Neurospora crassa OR74A: one gene and its partner. The protein of the gene in region 1 binds, or shares a complex with, the protein of each later gene. Links are inferred from orthologs where the notes say so. Each region holds a gene or a part of one and is shown in the gene's direction. Other genes may lie near its edges. The genes, in order: NCU08024 and NCU03055.

Region 1 (4,490 bases):
GGCCGACGTTGGTTCGCACGGATAGAGTAAGTTTATTTCCCCTTGCCTTTCACATCTCATGATGATCCCATAACCACAGTTCTCGCGATAATCTCTGAGCGATCGAACAAACATGCACTACCATCTGACTACTCCTTCAACACATCCTTCACTTGCAACTCATTTGGAGGAACCGTTGACTGACAATCAATAGTACAGACAAAGTTGTTATTGTCACCGTTGCTGTTCCACTCCGTTTTCTCAGTCTCTACCCACTAGGTAAGCATCACATTGTTTTCCTTTCTGTTTTCTTTCCCCCACCTGACATCATCACCCACCCGATTGTCCATGATGAAACAAAATATTTTCAGTTCTGCTTCTGAATAATAATGAGCGATAACCAATTATACCAAAACCTTCTGATATGGCAATCACCCCAACTCTTTCTTGCAACGACAGCCCTCACCACACATGCTGCGAGCAAGTTGGCTAACAAACTTCAAGTTATATAGGATCTGAAAACGATCTTGCGTCTAGTGGGAGAGTCGACATGCCCATCTGGTAGGTACTTTGCCTTTTTTTTTTTTCCTTTGTCCCATGCACAATGATGACAACAGTCTATCCATTCAACGATATGTACGGGCCGAGCCATCCATCCGCACTGGAGCGTCTTTCGGGGCGTGAGGACTAGTTGTGGTGTCTCCCTTCGGGGTGTCATTTGGCTTCCGTTGTCCGAGTCTCCTGCGCACCGTTTTGGGGCGTGGGAGGCTTGGGCCGGCTTTGTAGGGCTGAGTTAAAACGGCTTGTCTGATCTGTGTCGTCTTCGCCTTCTGCTCGATGCCGATTCGCGTATGACCTTGAACTGACCGGTCAGTAGTTGATGGCGTGAACGTTTCATACGTTTTGTTGCAACGCATCTTTGACGAGGTAAGGTTTGTGTTCATGACTCGACAACTCAATGACCCCAGTAAAATTGGATGTAGTTGAGGATCGACGGTGTGCCTGTCCTTGACATTTACATAGGGCTTCAAGATATCAGCAAGGATAGAACAATGAAAACAAGAGTTGCAAAATAGTTGATTATCTCCAATCAGACCCAAGATATTGCCCTTGATGATGTGCAGGAGAAGTCCAAACCCAGTAGAACGAATGACCGGACACTTGCCGCGACGTAAGCCCGGTTTCCCTTCAAATCATCTGTGTCTCGAGGTTGAACATCAAATAAATTGAAGACACACCCTGATGTACCCATCTGTATTGCACACAGATGATAACTACGGCACAGACTCGACGGTACTTGCATTGCCACTGTTTCAGGTCGACTTTGCCGTCAATTCTGGAGCCTTGTCCTTGGCGACTTTAAATCCTGTACACTGCACTAGAACCCCTGAAACCAAGGCGTCAAGTCTGGGGTCATTTGTGGGTGGGTGCAAAATGCGCTACAATTGGCAGGACCCCGTCGAACGGCCGGGCCACTTTGCGACGCCATTGGTAAAGAAATCCATCCCAACCCGCCAATCTTATCTGGACTGGTACTTAGTACGTGTATCGATCCGTCAAGCTGCCCACAGCCCGGTGCGAACACCTCAGCTTTTTATCAAACGACTCGGTGCTACAGGAACGCGATCGTCTTGATCTTCCGCCCAAACTTCTCTCTGACCGCGATGCATTGATCCTGAACCGGCCTGGTCCCTTCTCTATCATTTCGACACAGTTTCGGCAGCGCGTGCGTCGAGAACATCCAGCGAGAGACCGCCCAGTCTGCAGCATCTGTTAGCATTTCCGGTTCGCAGGACTCAGGTACCCTGCGTGTGCGCAAAGGGGGGTTGAGGTGCTCGATAATATTGGCCGCCCCTGCAGCGACCATCTATCACCAAACAGCCCAATGCTGCCGTACGCATCTTCCTCCGGGTCCAAGGCGGTCCCTCGACACCATGCGAGCGGATATTCCAATGGGTACCCGCGAGGAAACACCTTTGAGATTTCTCCTCACAGGTAAAGTGCCCCCCGCCCCCTGAATCACCAGGCGAACGAAACGAACGTTGGAAGCTGACGGGAGCGGCCTCCTATCATTCCACAGGTTCCAACCTCGAGGCGCGGCACCACCATTTCGAAGACGGAAGGGACTATTCCTGCGATTGGCAATAGCGCTGGTATCATTACTTCTCTTTGGGCTGTTCGTTTGGCCCGGCGATTCGGGGTCTTTCTCCTGGCTTGGCTCCGGTTCTGAAGATTTCCAACTCGAGACGGTGCGATACTACGACCTGTCTAACGTGCAGGGCACCGCGAAAGGATGGGAGAGAGAGGAGCGAATTTTGATCTGCGTGCCGCTGCGCGATGCCGAAGTGCATATGCCCATGTTCTTCGGTCACCTCCTCAACCTGACGTATCCTCACCATCTGATCGATCTCGCTTTCCTTGTTTCGGACTCGAAAGACAACACCTTGGCGGTTCTTGAACGCGAGCTTACGGCTATTCAAGCTAGCACCGACCCGTCCAAGCACTTTGGCGAAATCTCCATCATCGAGAAAGACTTTGGACAAAAAGTTAATCAGGATGTGGAAAGCCGCCACGGTTTCGCCGCGCAGGCGAGCAGAAGAAAGCTCATGGCCCAAGCTAGAAATTGGCTCCTTAGCGCCGCCCTTCGGCCGTATCATTCGTGGGTCTACTGGCGTGATGTCGACGTGGAGACGGCGCCTACCACGATCTTGGAAGATCTGATGCGCCACAACAAGGATGTGATTGTGCCAAGTAAGCCTCCTGAACCCTTAGCTGATATTGAAAGGATAACTGGAAATGCTAACCGGACTTTAGATGTTTGGCGTCCGCTACCTGACTGGCTGGGCGGAGAACAGCCCTACGACCTTAACTCCTGGGCCGAGTCCGAAACCGCCCTCGCACTCGCGGATACTCTCGACGAAGATGCAGTTATCGTGGAGGGATACGCAGAATATGCTACCTGGCGTCCCCATCTCGCATATCTCCGGGACCCCTATGGCGATCCCGACATGGAAATGGAGATCGATGGCGTTGGTGGAGTGAGTATTCTGGCAAAGGCCAAGGTTTTCCGTTACGGCGTCCACTTCCCGGCGTTCAGCTTCGAAAAACATGCCGAGACAGAAGCTTTTGGAAAGGTAAGCTCGTCAGGCCTTCCCGCGTCTTTGGATCCGTCTAACCGCTATGGTAACAGATGTCGAGAAGGATGGGCTTCTCAGTTGTTGGCCTTCCTCATTATACTATCTGGCATTTGTACGAGCCTAGTGTAGACGATATTAAGCACATGGAGGTAAGCAATCACGCATCTGGTTATGCAAGTTTGACAGGTCCCTAACAGTCGGCAGCAAATGGAGCAGGAGAGACTCGCTCGCGAGAAGGAGGAAAAGGAGAAAGCGATGAAGGAGCAGAAGATGAAGGAGTCTTTTGGCGACGCCACTGGCCAATGGGAGAAGGACAAGAACGAAATACAAAACCTCGCCATGCAGGAGAACAAGAAGGCGGAAGAGCAACCAGCAGCAGGACAACAAGGCGGACCGGCTGACGGACCAGCCAATGCTGCTCCCAAGGAGGAGAAGAAGGAGGGCACTCAGTGAGCTGTGCTCGAGTGTCCACTCGGTTTTTTTTTTCTATATTTTCTTCTATCTTTTTAATACTGCCTCTTTCGCTATATTTCTGCATCCTCATCTCTGGTTTAACGTTGTGTTTCGCCAAGTGGACGCATACCAAAGAAAAATGGGTGGGAGGCACTTGTGAAGCCGCCCGCTTATACATCTACCTATTATGTACAATGGGCAGTTGGAGAGGGAGGGTCAGATATCAGGGATATGTAATTGGCGACGGTTCACACCGCATTCACCTCATGTCAGGAACGGACCGGAAAGACAAAATCTTATGGAGGGTAATCTAAGATCATGTATACTAGAAGCGTTTCGCGGCCAACGAGTTCAAAAAAAATCATAGCAGAGGCGTTCCGGGAAATGTCTTTTTTGCTTTGCAGTCTGCTACAGCGACCACAAATGGGTTGAGTGCACAATACTGACGCCTCTCTGGTCGCTTCATCCTGTTGTCTGAGCGTAGCGGCCGGATGTCTCTCGATTGGCTACCCGGTGGTAGTTGCTATTTGGCTTCGGGCCCAGGCCGCGAATGGAGACACGCCGGCTGCCCGGTGCCTTTGACATCAGACTGCGTCTCGGGAGGTACGTCGACCTCCAAATGTGCTCCCCCTAAAATTTGCATAGGTAAGCACATGCATACAAGTTTGTGATTAGCGATATCTGTTCTTGAAGAGAAAAAAACGAAAAACAAAAAAGGACAGGAGCAAGACTCAAAACCCTCCGTGTTGTCACAAGAGCACTGCCGTTGGCGAGGTACATCCCTTCTATACATCAGACTAGTCTAGTGTACACAGAGGTATAATAGGTAGGTAACTTGGCGTAGTATTAGTTGTCAGCCGCGGCGGCCACTGATAGGTAGGTGTACATAGTACTGGATCTCCAAAGGACATTTGTTACTAC
Region 2 (4,539 bases), on another chromosome or scaffold:
TTATGTGTGTTTAACAAACAAACTGTCCAACCATCAGGGCGGCTAGGCCATGAGCTTGGCTTCCTCTTATTGCAGGGGCTGAAGACTATGATCAGTGTTCTGAAGCTTCTAGCAAAGATTGCCACCTACCGAGTAGCTCCAGCGTCCTCTCATTCAAGACCAGGACACCTGGGGTGGTCAAGAAAAGGAGGATCGTCAGGAATCACTCCGCCAGTTGATCCAGTTTATCGTGGGGCCCCTACGAGAGTACGTCTAGTTGGTCTGCCATCTCCGTTGATAATGCTAAAAGTTTAGTAGCCGATGGTAGGTTACCAGCGATGTTCTGCTACACGCCACCACAGTGAACCATTAAAGGTTCATGGGTACCGTAGCCATCCTCGATATGAGTTGACATCTGGAGGTCGAGATGCCATTTCTGCCATAGGTTACCACCTATCATCCAGAAAATGTATCGTCATTAGCATCATCTTAGGTAGGGATCGAGATGGCGTGCCGTGGGGTACCCCATAGTCGTTCATTAAGTGCAGACCCCCATGACCTCTATCTCCGTTGAGGACCAGGTTTGAGCGGGTGCTAGAATGGTGAAACAACGGAGGGGAGACAAGGAGATTTGACCCCCTTTAAATTGCGAACATCACCACATCACCCGCAACATTATTCGGCTCTGGCTTAGACAAGGGGCAAAAGAATCGCCCAGTTCGCCCAGCGAACCAACTCCGCGTCAGTCTTCCGTAGCGCCGGATCAGAGCCAAGAGATAACCATCTCAAGCAGGGGGGGTTGGTCAATTAGCTTTCTGTTGCGCAATCGGCCGAAGACTGCAAGCCAAAACATGTTTGTACTTTGTCCCACATCCGGTAATTTTTCTGTAACTAGTGCCCTTGGCCGGGCTGAGAGGGGGATTTTGAAAGAAAAAAAAAATCAGTCAGCAAAACGGTTTCGGGAGAAGTTGAAGGTCTCCCTCAAATTCCCCAAGTTGCTGCCCCCAAGCGCTTGATGAGTTGGATTGGAACGTTGTCATTAGCTCCTGCGTTCTGTTGCAGAGCCGTCAGGTACACTACCTACAGTACAGCCCCAGGATTGTCGAGGAAGAAAAAAAAAAAAAAGCCGAGAGTTGAAGGGGTCCAATGCCCAATGCGCTTGTACTGCCCGCCGGTACCGTGAAGGCTGCAAGGCACCCAACGAAAGCAGGTCAAGTCCACGCCCGACATCCCTGTTCAACATTAGCGTCTGCTCCCCCTTTCCATGCTTTGAAAAATTTAAGTCTAAAGACGGTGAAGGCATTCAGGAAAAGGATTGGGCCTTCCGCGAGCCGTTATCAGAACGTGTTAAGGATTCCCGCTCTAGGTGAAATTGCATGCCATCACCGTCCAGGTGTCGCAATTAGTCGCAACCACCCTGGACCGTAGTGTACTGTGTACCTAGACTCCAAGAAATAGACAGGGGTCGCAGTGAACAGGCCCTGGGTGGTGCCCTGCATGTGTCGGGGCAATCTTGGCGTGGGTAGCTGTTGAAAAGTTGGCCGCTAAAACAGAGAAAAAAAATGTTGTTGACGGAGAAAGCCCCTAGAATATCTGGGGACGGCCGGGGGGTCGCGATGAATTTGGGGAGGATGGAAGGTTTAAACACGCTTGTCCACGCTGGCCATTTAGTGGACGGGCAGGGCTGTTCTTCATCTGAAAGTGATTTTTAGCCCACGGTCACTGGAATTTTTCCATAGCTGAAACGGTCAAGAGATTCACTCTCCTAGTGAAACAATCTGCGTTGAGTTGTCTCTGAAGATCTCGTTTGTTACCTCTTCTTCCCGTCCACCAAGACACCGACGCATAATCCAAGCAACCGTTAGGTAATCGAGCGCGGCGAGCGATCCACTGAACGACATCTGCCCGGCATACAGCCGAAGGGAATCCGGGCATCTTCAAGCAACAGCTGCCCGGCTGGGTTCAAGGTTGGCATATCGTGTCCAGGTGCCGCTTCTGCAGCACCCGCCTACCATCCAGAGCCACCACAGGCGCCGGGTCTCTTCCTCCAACAGCAGCCTGCGCGCCCTGCACCCCAACCCGAAACTCGGACGTCTCCAAGACACACCGGGTCCTTGGTCCCCTTTGTCCCATCCCCATCCGTCCACATCCCCTTCTTGGACGACCAGATCCTCTCGGTTGTACCGCACGAGCACATTCAGTATTCGACAGTACACGCAGTCTGCCTTCTTTGGGTAGAGCCTAACTACCACGGACACCCATCCGACCGTACGCAGCGCAGCCACCAAGGCCAGCCAGCCCACCGTAACCACCAACCGCTACGTACCGACGTACCGTATCTCGAGTCAGGCGGCCCTCCGTTGCAACGTGGATTCAGCCGTCACTTTGTCAGTCCGTCCGTCAGCCTCTGGCTTGGGCCCTTGAGCCTCCACGGCAAGGAAGCCCAGCTACCCCCCTACACCCCTGCGCGATATCACCAGAGGGCCCATAGTGCCACCTGGTGAAGTCGCAAATCCGCAAAGCTGGCGACCCTTTCCCCCAACGGCAACGGGACCTCGTCCTCCTACAGCGACCCTCCGGCCCGCTCCCATCACCGAAGACGGTCGTCCGCCGTTAACCCTCCCAGCGAACTCCGATTGGACAATCGCCGATCTCCCTCGGGCCTCCTCCTTGGGGTTGAGCCCCATCACGGCAACTACGACCCCAACAGCCTCTCGCCCATCCCGGGTACGTGTTCTTCCCCTGTTGTCTTTTTGCCCTGTCCCACGCCCGTGACTGCCACCAGCGGTCTCACGGCCGCCGTCTCACTTTCACCCGTCTGGCCGCTGGGCACTTGTCCGATGTCATCCGCGTGTTACTGACTGTCGCTTGGTCCTTCCGTCTGCTCTAGGCACCCCGATCACTGCAATGTCGCTGTCCCGCAGTCCTTCTCCCGTTCCCGGTGGTGGCTGGGCAAGTCCAGGCCTTACAAACAACCTCAGCCCGAGCGGTCGATCGAGTCCTACCAAGGCCTACGCCGGATCCAACGGGACGCCCGTCATGTGGGAAAGGCAAAAAAACATGGGCGGCGCCGCATACCAGTCCTTCTCGACACAGAACCAGGGCTTCTTTAGCCGCCACATGCGTCGGATATCAAGTTCGCTGCCCCGATTCAAGGCCGACAACACCCATGGCGCCGAGAGAGAGAAGATTGGCCAAGGTCGATGGAACATGCCACGACTCGGCAGGATACGAGGCATCACGGGGAGGATGAGCAGGAGGACCAAGATGCTGCTAGCCTTTGCCCTCTTGTTCCTGCTCGGATACATCATCTTTTACAGCACTCGTGAGTCTTTGCAACCCCCCACCTTGGATCGATCATACAGTGACCTGACACCCTGGAAAGCTCTGGTTTACTACTACCGAAGAACATCATGGCTTGGTGGGGGTCAAAAGTTTGTCATCATTCTAGCTGCCAACGTTGGCGGTGGTGTCATGGAGTGGAAGGGCGCCAGGGAATGGGCAATCGAGAGGGACTCGATTCGCAACAAGAAGAAATACGTTGCCAAGTGGGGATACGATCTCGAGATTGTCGACATGAGCACAAAGAAACGCTATGCGCATGAATGGCGCGAGAGCTGGGAAAAGGTTGATTTCATCCGCTCCACTCTGCGAAAGTATCCCAAGGCAGAATGGTAAGTTCCCACTCTGTCGCTTCCTGGATGTGATCCGTGGCTGATTTTCTCCCAGGGTTTGGTGGCTTGACCTCAACACCTTCATTATGGAGCCATCGAAGTCTCTGCAGGACCATATTTTCGACCACATCGAGGATGTCACCTACCGCGACATCAATGAGTACAATCCGTTGAACATCTCTCACCCCCCGGCCGACCCTTACCTCGACGAACTCTCGAAAAGTCCGATTGGAGATGGCAACCCGAACTCGATTCACCTCATGTTGTCGCAGGATTGCTCTGGATTCAATTTGGGTTCCTTCTTCATGCGCCGCGGCACTTGGACGGATCATTTACTTGATGTTTGGTGGGATCCTGTGGCATACGAACAGAAGCACATGGAGTGGGAACACAAGGAGCAAGATGCCTTGGAGCAGCTTTACACTGCGCAACCTTGGATTCGGAAGAGTACGGCCTTCCTTCCGCAGCGCATGATCAACAGTTTCCCTACAGGCGCCTGCTCTGAAAAGGGCACTGATCCGCGCATACATTACGACCAGAAGGATCGGGATTTCCTGGTCAACATGGCCGGATGTGAATGGGGCCGAGACTGCTGGGGTGAGATGTACAACTTCCGCGAGCTGAGCTATCACCTCAACCGGTCGTTGTGGGAACGATTCAAGGAGGACCTCCTTTGCTGGATCTGGTTCAAGTTGACCGGAAAGAAGGTCAAGTTCTAAAACACATCACCTACAGTCTTGAAACCCTGATGCGAACGACACGATACTCACGACGTTTCTATTCGATCGCTCGAAGTTAATGTTGTGTTGAGCCCTCCACGGTACGCCGCCAGCAACTAGAGGCGGTTTGGCCGACAAATGGCGACACTACGTCTATAATCAAGTTA

Evidence for each region.
Region 2: NCU08024 (region 1) and NCU03055 share a complex: the UniProt entries of both Saccharomyces cerevisiae proteins name them as parts of the M-Pol II complex. The link is inferred for Neurospora crassa OR74A from reciprocal best matches to the Saccharomyces cerevisiae genes ANP1 and MNN10.

What each region holds. Positions count from the first base shown.
Region 1 is NC_026504.1:3,953,206-3,957,695, reverse strand, and holds NCU08024 (mannan polymerase II complex ANP1 subunit), read left to right. Parts: upstream 1-1,533; 5' UTR 1,534-1,864; coding exon 1,865-1,974; intron 1,975-2,059; coding exon 2,060-2,730; intron 2,731-2,793; coding exon 2,794-3,113; intron 3,114-3,169; coding exon 3,170-3,265; intron 3,266-3,320; coding exon 3,321-3,569; 3' UTR 3,570-3,977; downstream 3,978-4,490. UniProt on the Saccharomyces cerevisiae protein: Involved in the organization of the secretory pathway. Required to maintain a functional Golgi apparatus.
Region 2 is NC_026501.1:4,355,709-4,360,247, forward strand, and holds the start of NCU03055 (alpha-1,6-mannosyltransferase subunit), read left to right. Parts: upstream 1-1,674; 5' UTR 1,675-2,706; intron 2,707-2,869; 5' UTR 2,870-2,886; coding exon 2,887-3,304; intron 3,305-3,364; coding exon 3,365-3,653; intron 3,654-3,708; coding exon 3,709-4,372; 3' UTR 4,373-4,539. UniProt on the Saccharomyces cerevisiae protein: Required for polarized growth and efficient budding. The M-Pol II complex possesses alpha-1,6-mannosyltransferase activity and is probably involved in the elongation of the mannan backbone of N-linked glycans on cell wall and periplasmic proteins.